Linked DNA regions of Medicago truncatula. The protein of the gene in region 1 interacts with the protein of each later gene in a pairwise test. Links are inferred from orthologs where the notes say so. Each region holds a gene or a part of one and is shown on either strand. Other genes may lie near its edges.

Evidence for each region. The genes of interacting proteins can lie anywhere in the genome.
Region 2: the proteins of homeobox protein BEL1 homolog (region 1) and homeobox protein SBH1 interact in binary tests that used the Arabidopsis thaliana proteins (3 or more experiments, as listed by UniProt). The link is inferred for Medicago truncatula from reciprocal best matches to the Arabidopsis thaliana genes BEL1 and STM.
Region 3: the proteins of homeobox protein BEL1 homolog (region 1) and ethylene-responsive transcription factor 12 interact in binary tests that used the Arabidopsis thaliana proteins (3 or more experiments, as listed by UniProt). The link is inferred for Medicago truncatula from reciprocal best matches to the Arabidopsis thaliana genes BEL1 and ERF12.

Annotation. Positions count from the first base shown.
Region 1 is NC_053049.1:45,421,942-45,429,781, reverse strand, and holds the start of homeobox protein BEL1 homolog, read right to left. Parts: upstream 3,048-7,840; 5' UTR 2,809-3,047; coding exon 2,008-2,808; intron 1,655-2,007; coding exon 1,272-1,654; intron 726-1,271; coding exon 665-725; intron 404-664; coding exon 1-403. UniProt on the Arabidopsis thaliana protein: Plays a major role in ovule patterning and in determination of integument identity via its interaction with MADS-box factors. Formation of complex with AG-SEP dimers negatively regulates the carpel identity process and favors the maintenance of ovule identity.
Region 2 is NC_053043.1:8,828,553-8,835,736, reverse strand, and holds the start of homeobox protein SBH1, read left to right. Parts: upstream 1-4,130; 5' UTR 4,131-4,941; coding exon 4,942-5,358; intron 5,359-5,642; coding exon 5,643-5,898; intron 5,899-7,184. UniProt on the Arabidopsis thaliana protein: Required for shoot apical meristem (SAM) formation during embryogenesis. Negatively regulates ASYMMETRIC LEAVES1 (AS1) and ASYMMETRIC LEAVES2 (AS2 or LBD6). Probably binds to the DNA sequence 5'-TGAC-3'. Binds to RNA.
Region 3 is NC_053043.1:4,049,848-4,055,392, reverse strand, and holds ethylene-responsive transcription factor 12, read right to left. Parts: upstream 1,465-5,545; 5' UTR 1,292-1,464; coding exon 773-1,291; 3' UTR 555-772; downstream 1-554. Other genes in the region: receptor-like protein 4, read right to left, coding at 4,922-5,049, 5,180-5,361, 5,496-5,545.

The sequences.
Region 1 (7,840 bases):
CACCTTGGTGGAAACTCTCACCACTTGTGTAAGCAGCAACCATGTCAGAAGAAGAATGATGCGTATTATAAGATGAAAAATCAATATCAACCGAGCCAAACGCATCCGCGGCTAATTGATGATGATTCAAATTCTTATTATTAGCATCATTTTTATGATCATTGTTGATGATAGACGAGACACATTCAGAATCGATTCGAAGGAGTCGTGGCTTTTGATCCTCGTGAGGTTGAGTTTGAGATTGGTTTTGAAGTACATTAAGATTATCCTCTTCATGATTAATATTGTTTCCTCCGTCCGAGGTTGTCGTGTTTCTTTGTTGCTCTTTCTCTTCTTCCAAATACATTTCTTCCACCATTGGCTTCCATAGTCTCACTCTTGCATTAATAAACCAATTTGATACCTGCTTTTCAATTAATTAATAATTAAATAACATGTGTCACCTTAAAAACTTTCAATTAATAAATTTACAATAATAACATATTATATGTCTATATTAAGACTTACTCTTTACAAATATTAATATCAAATTTTTGGGTGACGGATCTGAGAAGACCATCTAATATATATGACTATTTAATTAAATATGAAATTGAAAGAGTTTGTCCAATGAAGGGAAATATATTAATATTTTTATTATTAATATAATAGAAAATCAACATGCCTGGCTTCTTGAGAGACCGGTTTGGCGGGCCAAAATATGCTTATCAACGTCGCTTGGGTACCTATAAAAAATTATACAAAAAAAAAAAAAAAAAATTAATATATGACCTTGTGTGGCACGTATGAATTAAATAGTAATTAGAAAATAAAACTAACTATATTAGAGATAAGAAGAAATGGCCCTACAAAGGAAGAATTATTTAAGTCCACATAAAAATAAAAAGAAGTAGTTGAGAAAGAGACGCAAAAATAAAAGTAAGAGAAGATGATGTAGAAATGATTGAAAATAATATGACAATACTATACACAACAACATACATATGAAAAGATGGAATCTGAATGGTGATGCACAGAAACTAACAAAAAAAAATGCGTAGGATATAATTTTTTATATTTGTTGAAGCACATTAATGTAAAAGATTCTTGATATGAGAAAACTTACGATACCATAACACAACTGCCAATAGTTGTTTTTATTTTTTGAAATGGAGACAACATTGATTCTTTAGAAAAATGTATTTTGTACCTTACTTCTATTAGAACTACTTACTTGAACATAGAAAGAAATAAATAAAATATGAATGAAATGAAGAAAAAAAAAGAATTACGGATGAAGAAAGTGTTCAAAAAGCCAAGCCCTGAGAATTGAAACAGAACGTTCAGGAAGACCACGTTGAGGTCTCCAAGGATGTGTTTCCATCATGTTGATTTGTTGAAATGCTCTTTGTTGTCTCAAAACTCTGTCAAGTATTTTAAGCCTAGGTGTTTCACCCTTTGTTGTTCCAGGTGCAACAGGGTCTTTTTCTCCCATTGCTTTTCTTGTTGTTTGAATTTGTTCTAAAATTCCATCTTTCAAACACCTAAAATGTCTTGACATAGCTTTTAAAGCCAAAGCTGAATATACTTTCGCAGCTCCATTTCCAGCTACAGCTTCAAATGATGAAACCACACTCCTCATTTGATTACAATAGTGTTTGTACCTTCTATCAACCTTATACACAAAAGTAAAAAAACAATATTTAAATAAATAATTTTCATGAGTTTGAAAGTTACTTCCACCATAGAAATAAAAATGAAACCTAACAATTTTTATTGGTAAGAAAAGCAAAAAGGTAACATTAAAAAGTTTCAATTGTCACGGGGTGAAGGCATTTATGATAAGACTTCACTAGCTGCTTAATTAGTTCAAGAATCAAAATCCAAATTAAGACACCAATCTCAACCAAAAGTTAAGAGCCTTGATTATGACTTGAACTTAATAGTCTTTGATTAATGAAATGAAATAATAAAATAATTTAAATTTGAAACATATAAATAGTAGTACTATAATATGTAATAATATACCTCTTCTAGCATGGAAAGGAGCTTAGTTTTTCTCTTCTGCAATTCAACAAACTCTACAGAGGTTAAAGATTGTTTGATTGAAGAACTGCTACCACCATTGTTGTTATCATCTTCCCAACTTTGCTTGTTGTTGAACTTTTGAGATTTTTGCTTTTGTAAAACTAAATCATTTTGCTTAGTACTTTCTAAACTACAAAACTCATTGAGAAGTTCTTGTGCTGGAAGTAAGAACTTAGAGTTTTTGAGAAGAAAATGACCTTGATACCCTTGATCTTGCAAATGATGATTAGTAGTATGTCTTAGTTCAAAAGATTGTAAACCAATAGAGGAAGGGTTTGTTGAACTAAGAGAGAGTGAAAGTCCTTGACTTGGTCTTTCATTACCTTCACAAGGGAAAACACATCTTAAAGATGAATCATCAACTTGTTGCCACTGATGATGTGAAGATGAATCATGATGAACCATGTTGTTTAGATTCTGATCACTACTTGTTGTATCAGAAACAGTGAAATCTTGATGATGATAGAAATTATCATTCATGGTTTTTGAAGAAGAGGAAGGACCAACATGTTGTTGACTTAGTTTTCCTGAGAAATTTGTTTTCCACATGACAGAGTTTGTTGTGTCAGTACTATGTTGTTGAAGATGTTGTTTGGAAAAACCTATCATCTCCATCCCTGTTGTGAGATTGAACATCTCTGGATCGGACACAAAACCTTGGATTTGTGTTTGAATCGTTGGGTTGTAACAAAATCCACCACTTGATGTTTTGTCATCTTCATGACAAAGTTGTCTAGCCATGAATAAAAATTTTCAAACTTCAATATATCTAGCTATAGTTTCAAATATAAATTAAGTGAATTAATTTATATTATGAGGGGAGCATGAGTGTGGAAGAAAGATGAGATATAGTTGCTCAGAAATAGAAGATGAGATAGCTAGCTAGAGAGGGTATTGATGATGACCTCCATGCTATCATATACTCTTTTTTTTTTCTTTATATTTCTCTCTCTCTCTCTCTCTTTCTTAACAACTGATGAGTCAATGGACCAAGATTTATAAATACAACCAAATTAGTCTTCATATTCCCACCAAAAATATTAATTAATATCAAGGAAATTTCCTCAATTATTTCTTACCTAGTATTAGAAAAATCTTATAATCAATAAATGTTCAAAACAGATAATTCTTCTTATATTATTTCAATCTATTGTAAACAATATTTAACTCATTGTTTTATTTTATTTATTTAGGGGATTTTACTCATTGTTTTTCTTATATAACTGTATTATTTTTTGAAAATTGAAGTAAATTATGTTGCATAATATATTTATATATCTTTTATTCAGTCAAGAAAATAAAAAAGACTAACCTTCTCTACAAATTAAATTACATATATATATATGATGAAGCAGGACCAGCAACAAGTAATGATGTCCTCTGCCTCATACATAAACTATGAGCCGCCACTTGAATTGTTGTATCACATGTATGAGGAATTAATTATGGTTCTTTACAGTTTATTTCTAGACCATGAAGATTTATTGCAGCTCATAGAAAAAAATGATGATTTAATGCAGTTCAATTTTTGCATTTTTGGTCTATATTAGTTGAAACTTTTAAATACACAAATGAACTCATATAAAGAATATATTAATTTAAAGCATTAGATTTAAGATCTACTCTAATTTTACATAAACTAGTAAATATAATTTTGATAAATCACAACGGATCGTTGTGATTCTAATATACTCATCATGATACCAAACGTAAATATAATTTATAAATAAAAAAAAAATTATATATTGCTTAAAATATTATCGAATAGATTATGGTTCACAAACTCTTCATCTTTTTATGGAATAAATTCTCCTTTTAACATCACAAATATTATTTTGAGCAACAATAATGGTGCCACATTTAAATTTAAATTGGAGTCTAAAATTGTCACGGTTACCTTGGAGTATTTAATTAATCTGCATGGAAGTTAAATTAAAGAAATAAGAATAGGAATAAGGAGATCTTTGTAGGGAACGGATCCCTAGATTGAAGTCATTCCTAAGTAAAGTCTTTTACAGGCTTTTTCAGATGAGAAAAAGGCTCTGTTTGGGATGAGTTAGGTGGGTCCTCCTCCTTCTGTTTTCTCTGTTGTCTTTCTGAGCCATAAGCTACCAGTTATTCTCTTCCAATCTGTTTCCACTCACGAGAGATATATTGAATGAAGTTGCTCTAATATTATTACACTATCATCCACATAGGACTATATATATTTTCTCTTCTCAAATATTCCTCCATTATTATTTTGTATTCTTATTAATTATACATACATCAATTAGTGAGTATTAACTAACCGTCATATCGTTTGTTAATATATATACGTACATGTAAAAAAAACTAAATAATAAGGTATAGTGATGGACAAAAGTTGATAAAAATTTATGTTCTCATATCTTATATTTTAGTACTATTAGATTAGATATATAGTTGAGAGAAAACGATAATTATAGTTAAAATAACTGAGTAAAATTACCTTAGTGAATGAAGTAGAGAACCAATAAGACATACAAAACAAATTGATTTTTTTTACCGATATACATAGTTGTTTAGTGTGTGTAAAACGTTCCTAAAATAAGGAGTGAAGATGAGATGAGAAATAGAGATGAGGTGGTCCTATCTTTGCACATCTAATTCTTATTAATTGGTGTAATAAAGTACTCCACCCACATATCCTCCCCAAACCATTTTGCATGGGAGGGACCGCATCTTTTTCTTTCTTCATTTTCATTTATCGTCAAATATGCCTCTCCACGCGGATGACTTTTGCGATACTTATAAACAATTAGTGCAAAACCAAATTTAAGACCAAAAACAAAACAACAAAAGCGTGTCATGACAAATTTAATAGCACTTCTAATTTGAGAGTTTAATCTTTTGGTTACAGTTAACACAAAGTTTAATGGTATACCTTCAGAAAAAGTTTTATGTGTTTCCAACTATATATGTTTCAATGCTTGTGATTTATATATGGACTAACACTGAACTTACTATAACGCAGTTGAGATGGAATCATTATCTAAATTAGCTTTATCCCGGCGTTCCGAAAACTAGATGAGTATTTAAGGGAAGGGGATTTTCTCCGGTGTGTTTCTCTCAAGTTTTCTGCAGTGTGGGAATCTACACCATTAAATTTATTATATCTCATAATTTTTAGGAAAATGCTTGATGTTACGAGACACAGTCTTGCACGAATTTATACGAATAGTAACTATTCATTTTATTTTCAAAACCCAACAAGCTAGATTAAATTTCTATAAAGAATATAGGAGTAACTACCATCTGCCAACATTTCTCAGTTTTTTTATGCTTCATTTCTCTCTCTCACGTTCTCATGTATATACCTTCGTATGCAATGATGATATCAAATATGAAGCGATGTGAGGTTGGCGGTGATCAATAGTGCTATATGGTAAACATCATATGCAATGATAGTTATATAAGATTCTATTGTGAGCATATTTAATCCGTTTAAAATAATTAAAATGAGCCAGATATGGTGATTTTATAAGGCAAACAAGCTGTCCTGCATTTTGTGCGAAGAAAAGTCTCGTACCATATAGCACTACTGTAATTTCTAATTTGTCACATTTAGATTTTCAAGTATTTATTTTTATTTAAAAACTAATATTTAACTGAACTCTTCAGTCGCGGCAAATGATCAATTCCCATATTTGAGTGCTACATTCTACCTAGGGTGTACATGGGTTGGATTAACTAGAAAATCCGGTCAAACCTACCCATAAAACCTAAAAAAAAATGGGTTGGGGCGGTAATTGGGTGGGTATGGTTTCTAAAAATGAAAACCCCATAAAAATAAATCGATTTTGGGTAAAATTAGACTCAGACTCAATAAATCCACTTACTCAATAAGGTCAATATTTTTTATCTTTATTTTCATAGGGTAGAAGAAAAATACTAAAGGTTATGATCATAAACCAAGTTATATTTCTAAGAGAAATGATATTTTTACAACCAATTTGTGACAACTTTTGTACAACTTTCTCTCTCATACTCACATGATGGTCTTATCTTCTCTCTTCCATTTTCTCTCTCCATTGTTTTTGACCAATAAGAAGAGAGAAAAACAAGTTGTCACTAAAGTTGTCATGGAATGGATGTACAAATATCATTGTTATATTTCTAAACATACACATTGTATCCTATATAATGAAAATCAAAACATGCTAATGTTACAGATCAAGATGTTGCAATTTTTGGTTAATTTAATACTAATGCAATTTAATGTTATGCAGCTTTAGTTTGTTGCAAGTATTTTATGTTGGAGTTTATTATTTGATATTATAATTTATTATTCTATGATGCATAAAATTATAATAAAAATAAGTTAACCAATTATGTTTAAGAGAATTAAAAAGTTGAGTAATATTTAAGATAAATTATGAGTACTGTTGTTTAGTCATTTAATATTAAAAAATAAAAAAATAAGTTGGGTAATCCATTACCCAATCATACTCAACCCAAAAATTAGCGAATTTGGTCAAACCCATCCAATAATATAATGGGTGGTTAAGAGATTTATCTATAAAATTAGTCCATAAACCAATTTTTAAGAGATTTGAAGGATTAACTTGATAGATTAGTAGTAGTATAAGGATTATTTAGTATATTTCTATAGTTTATTCATCAAACTGGAGAGAATGTGATAGTTTTGAAACCAAATTGATGGTTTATTATATTTGAAAGAATAAGTTGAGAGGATAGGTGCAGAAAATGAAAGTTAGTATAGGTTGAAATGAAGTGTGTGAAAAAGGGTAGTAATGGTGTTGTAAGTAGGAGGAACAGCTTTCTCCGCCGCTTGCCAAATTTCCCTTTGCTCTACTCTTCTCACCCTTACATACAGGCCTATAAATACAACAATGATGTCACTACCTCTCTCACCCCACTGATTCTTTTTGGCCTTTGTGCACTACGCACTCTTCTCATGCATGATGCAACAAATCACTATACACCTTCATCACTTTATATATCCATGTACTAGTACGTTTAGGCAGACTCCCAACATTTATGACAGCATAATAGTTTTTATTACAACTTGTTTATGTACTAGCAAAAATCATTTATTTTTATTTACAATAAACACAAATCCTTTATAATGATAATATATTATGGCACCACATCTTCATATATAAAAAGTACCTAAGAAGGGAGCATTATTGTATATGAGCATGAGCTCCTCTCTCTAGTTATATATGTACTATGAAATAATCAAAACTAAAGGTCAAAGACTGATCAAATCAAATCAAAACAGAATCAAATGAAAAACTCAATGATGTATATTAAATTATTATGACATATTATAGTTATATTGGACATAGTAAAAAAATGAACTTTCCTATTTTCAGTAAATTTTAATGGAAAATTATTATGTGTTTTTCTATTATAAAATTGATTTTTTACAAATCTCTAGTTTTGGACCATTTTGAAATGTGATATTGGATAAATGTCTATTTTTTTTTCTTCTGTTGCTATTAATTTAGTTAGACATGTACAAGTTTCAAGAAGCAAAGTAATAACAATAAGGTGCGGCCATGGGATATATAGAGGGGTCAAGTCAATTGGAGACTCCACAAATGGCGGGGGATTTATCTGGCGCGAGTTAGAACACAGTTGAACTCTGAGACATGATTTCATTTGAGTCACATTTTTGAACAGGTTTCATGTTAGAACAACGTGCCACACAACCAGGCTATGATAGGGTGGTCCACTTTCATATTTCTTTATGTGTATAAAAATAACTTTATTTACTCGTACAATA
Region 2 (7,184 bases), on another chromosome or scaffold:
AAGGATCCATAAAGGTTTTACTACACTAAAGGGATGCGATTTTGGGGTAGATCCGGAGATTTTAGGGTTTGAGTATGATTTAGATTTGGAATTGAGTATGTATTGGATCCGGCGAAGAAGAAGATTTTGATGGAAATGAAAATGAGATTTTGATTAAAGAGTTTGAATGTTTAATTTATGTTAATGGGCATGATGAAGATTGATGAATGTTGATGATGGTGAGGTTGAAGATGATGAAGAAGAAGAAGGAAGAAGATGAAGAAAGAAAAGCAAGATTTTTAATTTGAAATTTGTTAATTCGTGTTTTTGAATTTCGTCCCCTGGAAATTTTCATTTTTGGATTTAGTCCCTCTAAACTTGTCAATTGTGACACATAAGCCTCACTTGCCATGTCACGCATCGTCACATCGGTCGCCGTTTGATATATCAACGTTTTTGTAACTTATGATGACGACAAGACCAAAAACAAAACATTTGAAACTTACCGGGTATTTTTAGAATCAAAAAGTTACAAAAACAGAAACAAAAAACACGCCAACTTACAGGAACAATTTACATATTATAAAAATGGTTAATTAAGTTTTTAGTCCTTGTAAATATTCACAGTTTTATTTTTAGGAACAAAATGTTGATGAAATTTTTTTACAGGGACTAAAAATAATGATGAAAAGTTCTTATAGGGACTAAAAATGCTGATGGAGAATTTTATAGCGATTAAAAAGTATGATTTTATTTTGTAGGGAAAAACAATTAATTAACCCTTCTAAAAATCTGAATTATTATTATTCTAAAATTGACAGCAACTCAAATTTTCAATGCTGTACGAAAGAGAACAAAAAAAATGAAGAGTATAAACCGGATGGGAGGGGGGACAATGGGATGCGACAATAAGTACGTAACCTGATGGAGCTGCTTTTATACGGTATTTTTACGGGAAGTGATGCTAAGTCTATGCCTTTATTGTGGACGATGAGGAAGGATATATAGATATCTATGGTGCTAGTGCTACAAATAGATTAGCAAGTCATCAAAGAAAAAAAGAGGAAGAGACATTCGGACTGTCCCACATACTTTACAGCTTTATTAACTTAGCTACAGCACTAGCTTTTTCTGCAGTAAATTATCTCGAATTACTACTGATTATATGCATGCTAGCTAACATAGCAACGTCATATTGGGTTCAATTTAGTAAAAGATAAAACTTTGTTGAGTTAATTAATAATTCACAAAATTAAAGTAGAAAGTTAATCATCTTTGGTAGCCCTTGGCTTTCTGATAGTTGGAGATTTTTTCTGTTCAATCGGCTGATGTTTGCTTGCATGTTTTTCAATTTGGTGGTTTGTTTAGTTGTAGTATTTGTTTACGAAGGATATACTCATCATTGCTTGTATGTGATTTTGTTGGATGTTTTATTGGAAGAAGTGTAACTCGTAGGTTTGCTGTAACAAAGAGTTGAATTTAGATGTTACAAGATCGTATTAAACTTTTCTCTTGGTGTATTTTTTGTTCTATTTTTAGAGGGTTATAATTGATTTTGGAGGTATAGAATTGATTCTGATATGTTTGGTTGTTGTTGATTATAATTGACCATGTCTCCATAATTGATTATATTTGAGATATGATTTGTAACTTTTGAATCTATAATTGATTTTAATATACAAATTTATAATTCAACTCACTTTTACATGAACGTATCCAAACATAAATTACATTTTTAAAAAAAATTACTTTTAATTAAAATCAATTCTACAAAATTGATTATATCAAAATCAATTTTTTCCACAACGCAACCAAATATACGTTTGGTGGTGGTTGAAATCTCAAGAACCACATATTTTTTTACATTTCCATTCGTGATGGAATAATCCATTAGTCTGTATTGATTATGCCACCATATAATGTTGTGTCTCAAAAACTTGTAGTTATGATATTATGTGTGGGGTGACATCGATTTAAACAAATCACGATATCACTTAAATTAACACATCAACACATCTAATAAAATTAATTAACAAAGAAACATTTTGATTGACGTAAGACAATTTAGGGGAATAATTTTATGTTTCATAAATTTAGTGTTCAAAATAACAATTACATTTTCAAGACAAAAATGTGATTTAATCATTAATTACTATTGTTCAAAAGAAACAAACTATATATCTTATAGTTTCTTGTATACTAAAATGAGTTAATTTTTAATCTCGAGCAAGAAGAAAACAAAGAGAGTGAGTATAATGACGACTAGTGTTGTATTTTCATAAAATTAAATGTACTCGTTCTAAAGTAATTAACCTTTCTAAAACAAAAATTTGTCACGAAATAATTGATCTTTTCAATTTTCAACATAGCATTAATATTTTTTCCAATCGTATCTCTAATATTACTTGTATCATTGTCAATCAATATTTTTTTTTTTTGACAAAAATTCAATATATTTTATAGTTACACAAATGTCAACTTGTGCCTTTTTTAAGTTAAATTAATCCATCTAAATTAATATTGGAGATAATCGAATCTGAGACCTCGAGCATGAGCACACTTCAAAATCCTAACTCAACATCACTAGACTAGGGATCTAGTGATGGCAAAGCGGACCAACCAACTTAAACCCGCAAAAAGCAGGAAGAAACGGGTTGAATCAATTTAGGTGGCCGAGTTCAAAATTTCATCCCCCGCTTTATGGCGGGTTGACGGGCCGTCAAAGAAAAAACGTGATTTTTAATGCAATTTTTAACAGTTTTATTGTTATGAAAAAATATGTTGTGGTTATTTATAAAATAAAATTGGGAGCAAATCAATTTGTGCTAAAACACAAGCTTACGAGACAAAATTGGATTATAATGAGTTATTTGGTCACTTCATTTTAAATTATGTCTAACTCGTCGATAAAATAAAAAATTAAAAAATTTCAAGTTGACGAGTTGGTGGGTTGGCCCGCCCCGTCCCTATCCCATCCCATCCCATTTTTTCAACGAATTAAGCAAGACGAGCCTATTAGAAGTGGTGAGTTCAAAACTCCAGCTTAGCTCTCCAAAAAAAGCAAGCTAAATGAGCCGGCCCGATAATTAGGTTTGTTTTGCCACCTTTACTCCAAGCCAATCCAAGTTGGTTAATTAACTTATGCCCTTAAGGCGCATGTTAAAGAACTTATTATAAATATATACATTTTTTTAAGAATCGAAACATACATTTTTAAAGTTGTATATTCATCTTTTTAAAAGTCAAAATATTATATTTTTTAATATAAATTAAAGTTACTCTCGTTGAGTTTTTAACATGTGCGTTGGGTTGCAAAAGGACATCTTAATGAGTGGCTTCTAGCAAAACTTATATATATATATATATATATATATATATATATATATATATATATATATATATATATATATATATTAATTGAACAAAATCCTTATTTTTTTTTCTTTAGGTGCGTTTAACATTTAGGCCATCTCCAACAAGGGATCTCTCTCCTTTTTAAGACCAGATATTTATTAAGTAATTTCATCGAGTAAAAGTTATTGAATTAATAGGAACAAAGTCTCAATGTAGATGTTAAATTTTTAGTGAGATGATTTTTTTATTTTTAATATTTTATTTTTGAAATGCAATGATATAGAGTCATTGGTAGATAATTAATGTGTTCCGTGTTTAGCTGGAGGGATTGACTGCTTATTAGATATTATTATTAAAAAATTATAAATGAGTGATGCAGACATATAAAATTATTCTAAGTATCTAAAAATGATTGTTTCCATTTTGATTTTATTATACAATGAGAAATGGTAACTAGTGTTTGGGGCCGTGATTAAGAAAACCAATATGGTATATAGTACAATAAAAATTGTATAACCTTTCATTTGGTCTTTGTAATTAGGTTTTGTTAAAGAGTGCTGTCGGGGCACTCATGAAGGATTTTAAAAGAAAAAAATTATTTTACATAAAAGTTAAATATTTTGATTTCTAATACATTGATTATACATATTTTTATAAAAAATTATCATTTAAAGGTATTAAAGAGTACCTCGGAGGCATTTGTTAATATTTTGCTTGTGATTATAAAAGATTAAATTGTACTTGTATAATAAATACTAATAAAATAAGAATTGATCTAAGAAAAAAGAATAGAGTGAGTGAGGTGAGGGAGATAGAGAGAAGGATTGATTCCGTGCCCTATGAAATGAACCTATCTTCCCCAATATATTCATCATCATCAGCATAGTAGTAGTAGGTAACTTGTTTTCTCCTCCTCGATTTGATCGTTCCTAGCTCACTATTTATTACTACCTCTCTCCAAAACAAAAGAAAAGAAAAGAAAAAAAAACTTGCTTGTTCTCTTGTCTCTCACTCCACTGCTTTTGTATGGCAGGGGTATCAGTGGCAGTGCAGAAAAAGGAAGGTAGAGTTTTCATTGGGAAGGTAAAACCTTTTTTTGGCACCAATGCTTCACACTAACCCTTCTTCTGTAACTCAACCTTCATCTCTCTCTCTACATATCCCGCGTGCACTCTACTGCTTTCTCACTCCTTCATAAAAAACCTTGTATTATCCACTAGCTAGAGAGACAAAGAGAGATTCATTTCTTCATTAAATGCTGAAAATGTGTGGAAAGAGAGATTAACACTCATTTTCCAAAGGAAATCTGTGCAGGCTTTTGCCAGTAGTAGAATCCAAAAAACCTCTTCACTACTTCTTCATGTAACTGACTGTAACTATACAACATAGCCACCACAAAACACTATCACTATTTATGTTTTTCTGTAAAAAAGCCTGTTACTTTTTTACCATAAAACCCGGGCGGGTGACCCTTGTGTGAAACAAAAACATCTTCAATATTAATATCATTCAAGTGAGAGAAAGAAAAATCTGACCTAGAAGGCAAAAAGGGTAATAAAAAGGAAGTGTTATTGTGGCTAAGTGAGTGAGTGAGTGAGTATTAATTCAATGGAGGGTAGTTCTAATGGAAGTTGTTCTTATGTGATGGGTGCTTTTGGAGAAAACAGTGGTGGGCTATGTCCTCCAATGATGATGATGCCTTTAGTCACTTCATCTCATCATAATGCTCATCATCCAATAAATTCCAATAACAACAATACTAATGCAAACAACACAACCGGTCTTTTCCTTCCTATCCCTAATTCCACTAACAATAATAACAATCACTACACCAACTGTAATAACAACACCTCTTCTATCATGCTTCAAAATAACCATCAAAACACTCCTGGTTTAGGTTACTATTTCATGGACAACATCAACAACCATGGAAGCTCTTCTTCCTCTTCTTCTTCTGTCAAATCCAAGATCATGGCTCATCCTCACTATCACCGTCTCTTGGAAGCCTACATCAACTGTCAAAAGGTCAGAAAAAAAAAGAAGATAATTATTTTGAAAACGATGTGTGTGTAATTAATTTCTTTGTACTTTTTTTGTTTGACAAGTTTGGATCTGATGAGCTGTGTTGTATAATTGTACTTTGAAACTGTGGCCTTTTGTTTTCATTTCCATTTATTACTAATATTGACAAACTATCATGTATATTATTGTAAGTCAAAACCCTTTTAAGCATATGTGATAAAGACACTTCATCTCATGACTATTTTTTTCATAAATTTTTTACTTCATGAAAATTATTGTGTTTTTAGGTTGGAGCACCAAGTGAAGTGGTGGCAAGGTTAGAAGAAGCATGTGCAACTGCAGTGAGAATGGGTGGAGATGCAGTTGGATCAGGTTGTTTAGGTGAAGATCCAGCTCTAGATCAGTTCATGGAAGCTTACTGTGAGATGCTTATCAAGTATGAGCAAGAACTTTCCAAACCCTTAAAGGAAGCTATGCTTTTTCTTCAAAGGATTGAAGTCCAGTTCAAAAATCTTACAGTTTCTTCATCTTCAGATAATATTGGTGATAATAACCTCTCTCTCTCTCTCTCTCCAGAAAATACTATTCAGATTTTAAATCATAATCTTGATTGCTTGATATTTGTTGTTGTTTACATATGCATCCATGCATGCCTGTGTTTGGAAGAGTTTGTTAATTTTGTTAGTATGTAAAAGTGTTTGATTATTATTAATTAATTAATTAAATTGAAGTTTATGACAAGATCTACTTTTTTTTTTCTAGCTTTTCTTATAAAAAAAATTCTTAATTAGTCTTTTTCAATAGTATTTTATATTGCTAGCTTGTACTCTTTTTAATCTTCTTTGCCTAAATAAGTGAGTTCCTAATACTTGCTACCAAAGGTGCCCTTAACTCATGCGTTTTTTGTCTAAAAATAAAGGTAGATGGTGATGTATAGTAGTACATATATATTTCATTGGTGTTGGTGCATTGAAGGAACTTAACTATATAGGTATCTTGTTAAATTCGTCTTTTCTTGTGTGTGTGCTTGATAGTATTGTTTTTATGGGAACTATAAGACTTGCATCATCACACATATAGCTTTTTCTTAAAATTTCCCTTTTGATGAGGTCACAGAAACTCTCAGATTTCACTGGCTTTTGTAGTGTTCTTAATATATTAACATTATTAAAGAATCTACTTTGTAATGAATCCAAAAATTGGAGGACTTCGGAACAGGAAGATTGGTGGGTGAATTTAGGTTTTGTAAATAATAACCAATGAATTAGGGTTTCTTCTGCACTTGTTCCCAGAAGTGGTAATTGCGAGGTATATACTCACAAGTTTCTTTCCTAATTGGAGTGCAAAATGCAGATAGTAGAGTAGCTCCAAAGAGCTGAAGTACTTTCCTGGGGACAAGTGCAAAGTGGATTTTAGATTTATGATATGGATCAATTAACATGGAAAAAAATCTTGCAAAGTTGATTGGATTTGATTAATGACCTAAAAAAGAGATTAAGCTATGATGTGTTAGTAGGTCCTTAAGAATAATGATGAATTTGATTGATTTGTTCTCTTGCTTCTTTTTCTCATTTGTCTCATCAAGGTTCCGTGTAAACACTACTCCCTATAGATGGAATATTTTATTAATTTGTATTATTTCATATAGCTAGTGTGATTATATGTGTTGTCATCATTATGTATATTTTTGTGTCTGCAGGTATAGATGCATATTATAATGCTTGTTAAAATTATGTTTGTTTTTTGATATTATATTTGATAAAAAACTTGGTTACTTGTCTTTAACTAAAAATGGATATACATTGTCCTACATGCATTTTTCTATGTTG
Region 3 (5,545 bases), on another chromosome or scaffold:
ATTACAAACAATATAAGATGAGGATGAGGAAAAAAAATGAAGAATAACTGAGACGCGCTTGGGAAAGTGAGTGGGTCTAAAAGTGGAGGAAAATATACGCTGCCAAAATGGTAAGAACCAGATCTCTGACTAGAAAAGGAATGCCATCATGCTGATACCCACACGCTCGCATCGCAGTTCCCGCTCTCAGCATAAACCAGACCCACTCGCGCGTGAAACCAAACTCCCTTTACACAACGCCGTTGTTTTCTAACGTGGTCCAAAACCAACAGCATCAAATTTACTGGTGTCACTCCCTCGTCGGTTGCCGCCCAACATTCCAAATGCTCCAAACCGTAAAACATTTTAGATTCTATTATTACTAGTAGTTCAAATATTTTGGACAAAGATTACATAATGTGTCCATCATACCCATTATTAAAACTACAATTTGCCAAGCAAAGTGTCATATGAAAAAGAATAGTTGATGTGAACCCATAGCATTTATTTCAACGTGAGAATCTAGCTCAATAACACTCATACTAGTCATAGACATCAATTAATATGGAAATAAATAAATAAAATATCATAAAGTACTTCATTTTTTTTTTTTTAAATGTTAGATTGCCATAGATACATTACAAAGATAAGATAGGTAGATACTCCCTCATGATAACTATGCCGCTAATAAGGGAGAAAAAGACAAGATTAATTAGATAAGATCCTAAAACGACGCCGTTAAAAAACTACAATAAATCATCTCATTTTACGCTACTTATTTGTCTAGGGTTTTTCAAAGCCACAACGGTGGAGGTTCATTCAAGTCAATCGGAATCCCACGTCGAACAAGTCCCAAGTAAGCCGCCGTCGGAGAGTTCTCAGCCACCATAGTTCTGCCGGCGACAGCAAGAGTAACTTCATTATGCCTCTGTCCAACCACCCCGCCGATGGGTGGAGGTGGAGGAGGGTTGAAATCCTTGAGAACACCAGTTTGAAGAAACTCAGTAAGCACACGGCCACGTGAAGGGACAGATGGCCATCGGAGATCAGAAGAAGGAGCGTTGAGATCCAAACAAAGTCCTCCGGCGACCGGCGCCGGTGGGAAGTTGGTTTTTGCTTTAGCTCCACGAAGAGAACGAGCGGCGCCGTCGTAAGCAAGAGCAGCTTCTTCAGGAGTGTCAAATGTACCCAGCCAAACACGCGTTTTCTTCCACGGATCGCGAATCTCAGCGGCGTAGCGTCCCCATGGTCGCTTCCTAACACCTCTGTAGTGTCCTTCACGATTCGCTGAAGAAGTTGAAGAAGAAGCCATGAAAACAAAGAAAAACAACACAAGAAGAGAGAAAAGAAAGGGTTTGCGAAGTGAAGTGAGAAGTGATTTGAGTTTATAAAAGTGAAGGGACCCACATTGGCTCCCGTAATTGTCGGCTGGCCGGCACCACTACAATACTACTACTACCACCCTTTGGTTTTGATTTTTGGTTTGTGATTATGTTTGTATATATAGACACAAAAAACCACACGAGGTGGGAAGCAAATTTGGATAAAATAAAGGGGAGCCGTTGATACTGATGGACGGCTATGATGTGAGGATGAAAGAAAGTGGTGGGACCCTATTGGGATAGCCGCCGGCTGAAAAGACGTATGGGGTGGAAGGAAGTGGGGGCTGTAGGAGCGTGACGTATGCCCTACTGTTGTTGTACGGTGTTTGCTCAGCGGCGCCTGACACTTTTTTCAAACTACTCCTGTCATTTTTTTTTATCTTTTATACTCATCCGTAATTTTATTTAATTTACCTAATAATATAAGGTGACAACTAGGGTACCCATGGAAGAATGGTGGGTAATTTACCCCAACCAATACACATTAGCCACATAAGCACATTTTTAAGTGGTATCCATGAACTATCTTAACCCCACCAACAAATTGTTCATTTTCATTGGTTGGTGGGTAAATTACCCACCATTCTTCAAAGGTAATCTAGAAAAAACCATAATGTAATCATATTCCACTTTCATTGCTAATGTTAAATTTCGTTGGTGAATTATTAATAATATTTTTGTCTTCGGGAGCATAGTTTATTTGGATGAAATAGTTCATTGTAACATGCGGTGTTTTTTATTTTTGAAGGATGTAACATGCGGTGTTTGAATTTTAAAGAATCTATTTATTCATCTTAAAATAATATTCTAAATATTAGATTAATTAATTACAAAAAACCATCTTTCAAATAAAAAAACTACAAAAAACCTCACTAAGATTTGCTTTGTCATGTTAACTTATGTTGTTAGGCACAAGTTAGAGAGTTACGAAAACAATTAAAAGAATTATTTTGTATTTCAAAAATAAATTTAAATTTGAGTTAAATACATAGTTTTTAAGATTTTGTTTCATCTTTTAGTAATGATATGTGTAAAACCATTTGTCAAAACTTTTTTTTTCTTTTTTGATTAGTCAAAAACTATATAAAGAAAAAAAAGGAAGAGAGAAAGTTAAACAATAATGTAAATACTCCTCCGTCTCTATATCTAAACATCCATTTGATTTTATTTTAGTCCTTAAATGTAATCCCCTTTCTAAATTACTAGATGCATTTATTATTTTTTTTTCTAAACATACCTTTAATTAATACTCCATCCGTTCTAAAATATAAGCAAAAAAATCTTATTTTCTTTGTCTCAAAATATAAGCAAAAAAGATCAATTTTTATGCTATTATTATGTTTTTTCAAACAAAACATCTTTTTCAATGTAAAATTAAATGCAAATTGCATTCAATTTATTCTCCTTTTTATTTTCTCCATAATTTTTAACCAACGAGAATTATTTTTACATCTTTCCATGAAACTTATTTTAAGGAGAACACAAAAAATTATACCTCAAATCATTAAGTGTTAGTTTTCTTGAAATTTAATACACATACAAACAAAGAACAATTTAGTAATATTAACACAGAAAACAGAAACATTAATTACACTAATAACTTTTCTTAAGAAATATAAAAAAAGCAAAGGGAGTTTACATTAAAGGACGAAGGTAGTATAAGAGATAAAATTGTTTAAAAGTTGTCACAAAATAAACATTAAAATATCAATTATGTTCAATTTTTTTTTTTTTGGTACAAATTATGTTCAACTTTACATTGCCTTGAGGGCATAAGTTATTTTTTTATTTTTTTTAGAATTTTATTTCAAAAAATATTCTATTTAATGTTTGTGTTTTTTTGGGGATTGAGATGTGTCATTGGAGATGAATAGTGGTTTATTGGATTGGAGGGGGAGTTTGTAATAAATAAAGAGGTATTATGGGAATTTGAGTTGTGGTAATGAAAGAGAAAGGTGAGATGAGGTGGATAAATATGATTGGATAGGGTAATATGTGGGGTTAGGTTAGTGCAGGGAGAGAGACTCCCACGTGGAATGGTGTCTGAGTAGCAGGGAACAGGTGAAATTGGGCCACCTTGAGAAAATGGGCTTATTTTTTTCTTTTTTATGGTCTTGTTGGCGTGTTTGACTACGTTGTTGTTGCTTGGGCTCTGTTGTAGTACTAGCTTTAATAAGTCTGCTACGGAGGAGTATTATTTTTTGTGGAGTAAAGAAAAGAAAAAGGACGAAAATTGAAAAGTGAGATCAGTGAGTGGTGAAAGTCAGGGACTGGGAGGGTGGATGGGTGGGTGATGAATCAGGTTCAGAGTGAGTGACTGCAGCTAGCAGATGGCCACACTGTGTATGCCTACAGATACGGATGTGTGTAGTAATAATAATCGTCACGTGAATTCATTCATCTTTTTTTATTAAAAATTACTCGGTTTTTGTTTCTATACGTCACTTTTATTTTCCTGTTTTAAAATATAAAAAAAATTTATTTTTTAGATTTATTTATTTAATGATGTATGTGGTTCATAATATGGACCACATACATTATTAAATAAATTATGGACCACATACATCATTAAATAAATGAACCTAAAATATGAATTTTGCTTATATTTTGAAATGGAGGGAGTAGTTTTTAAGGAAAATGTCCGGGCTATTAAGACTCCTACACTCTCCATCTCTTTTTTATAAGAATGCAAAACCGCGGATATTAAAAAAAAATGTTTAAAGTAATAAATTTATTATGTTATTATCACCAAAATTATTTATTGCCTGTTGAGATATTTATTTAAGGTTAATCTTTCGTATTTTATATTTAGACCCGCGCTTAATTGTTAGATTTGATTAAGGTTGAATCCACTTTCTGAAATTTTTATTTTATCATATTTTATTTTATTTTGTTAGAGTTGTTAACTGAATCAGGTTTTATGTAATTTTTCTTTTTTTAATAATATATATGAGCAATGCATAAAATATGTAAGGTCCGGGGTTGGGACCTCGGCTACCACAAAAAAAAAGAGTAGTGTTCCAACTTAGTTGGACACTATTTTTTTGATGTCATTTTGGTCTTGTCTTATAAAAAAAGTATACTAATAAGTTCTTTAAAAACAAAAGAGTAATGATAGGTAAACACCCTTAATGGGTACATACCAAATTTCAGCTGCTCTAACAGTGATCCACACATTTAAATTAAACAAATATAAATGAATGTACCAGGGCAGCTGTTATGTAAAGTAGCCCTCATTTATCCTCCACAGAATATTATGATTTCTGTTTACATTTTAATTTTTGAACTGTTACAAATATTCTATCAACAAACTAAAAAAATATTGAAGTTCAAACGTAAAATGAGTAATAAAAAAAAGTAAACATGTAATGTACAAAATTGTGATTTACAAATTAGTAGGATTCTCAGCCTGTAAGGTAGTGCAGTACAGCCATCAGAATACCCCTGCCATACATACATCAAAATACGATTATTGAATGAAAAAAAAATCAAATCAATTGAGGATGGGAAAGTGAAGAATGCTAGGATAGTTTTCCAAAAATACCAGAATAAATGGAATGCTATCCTCCAAGCAAGATAGGTCCATTCTCCGCAGCAGTATGAGAATTGCCATAATTATTACTATGCCTCGTCATCTGTATATCGCGTGAAAAATGGGTCCTCTTTTGTGCATATGGTGCTGCCCTCGCTATAAAAGAAAAAAGAGATATATTATTGTGATTTCAAATTAAGACACTATCCATGTACAACTACAAGATCATATACATCTAGAAAAAGCTCAATGCAGTAACAGCATATTAAGATATTAACATCCTTACCTGCAATTTGCTGAGCCCGGATGATATTCTTCCGCCTTTTACACCAGCAAACTGAACAGGTAATCAGAAGTAGAAAAGTAAAAAAAGCACCTAAGCCAATGCCAACTTTAGCACCGGCAGAAAGATGAGGTCCGCATGTAGGTAATCCAGGTATACCACACAGACCCGAATTGTCCGTAAAACTGCAGCAATCCACATGTTTTTATTTAGCAACCTTAATCATAAAGAAAGGGGAGAAATAGCATGTAGATATGGTTCTTTTCTCTTTGCATATAAATAGAACTTAAGTTTATTCTAGACTTTTATCACAACATACTTGAAGCTAGCTCTGTGCAGAAGCCTTCCTCCTAGAGTTGCCGGTACCAT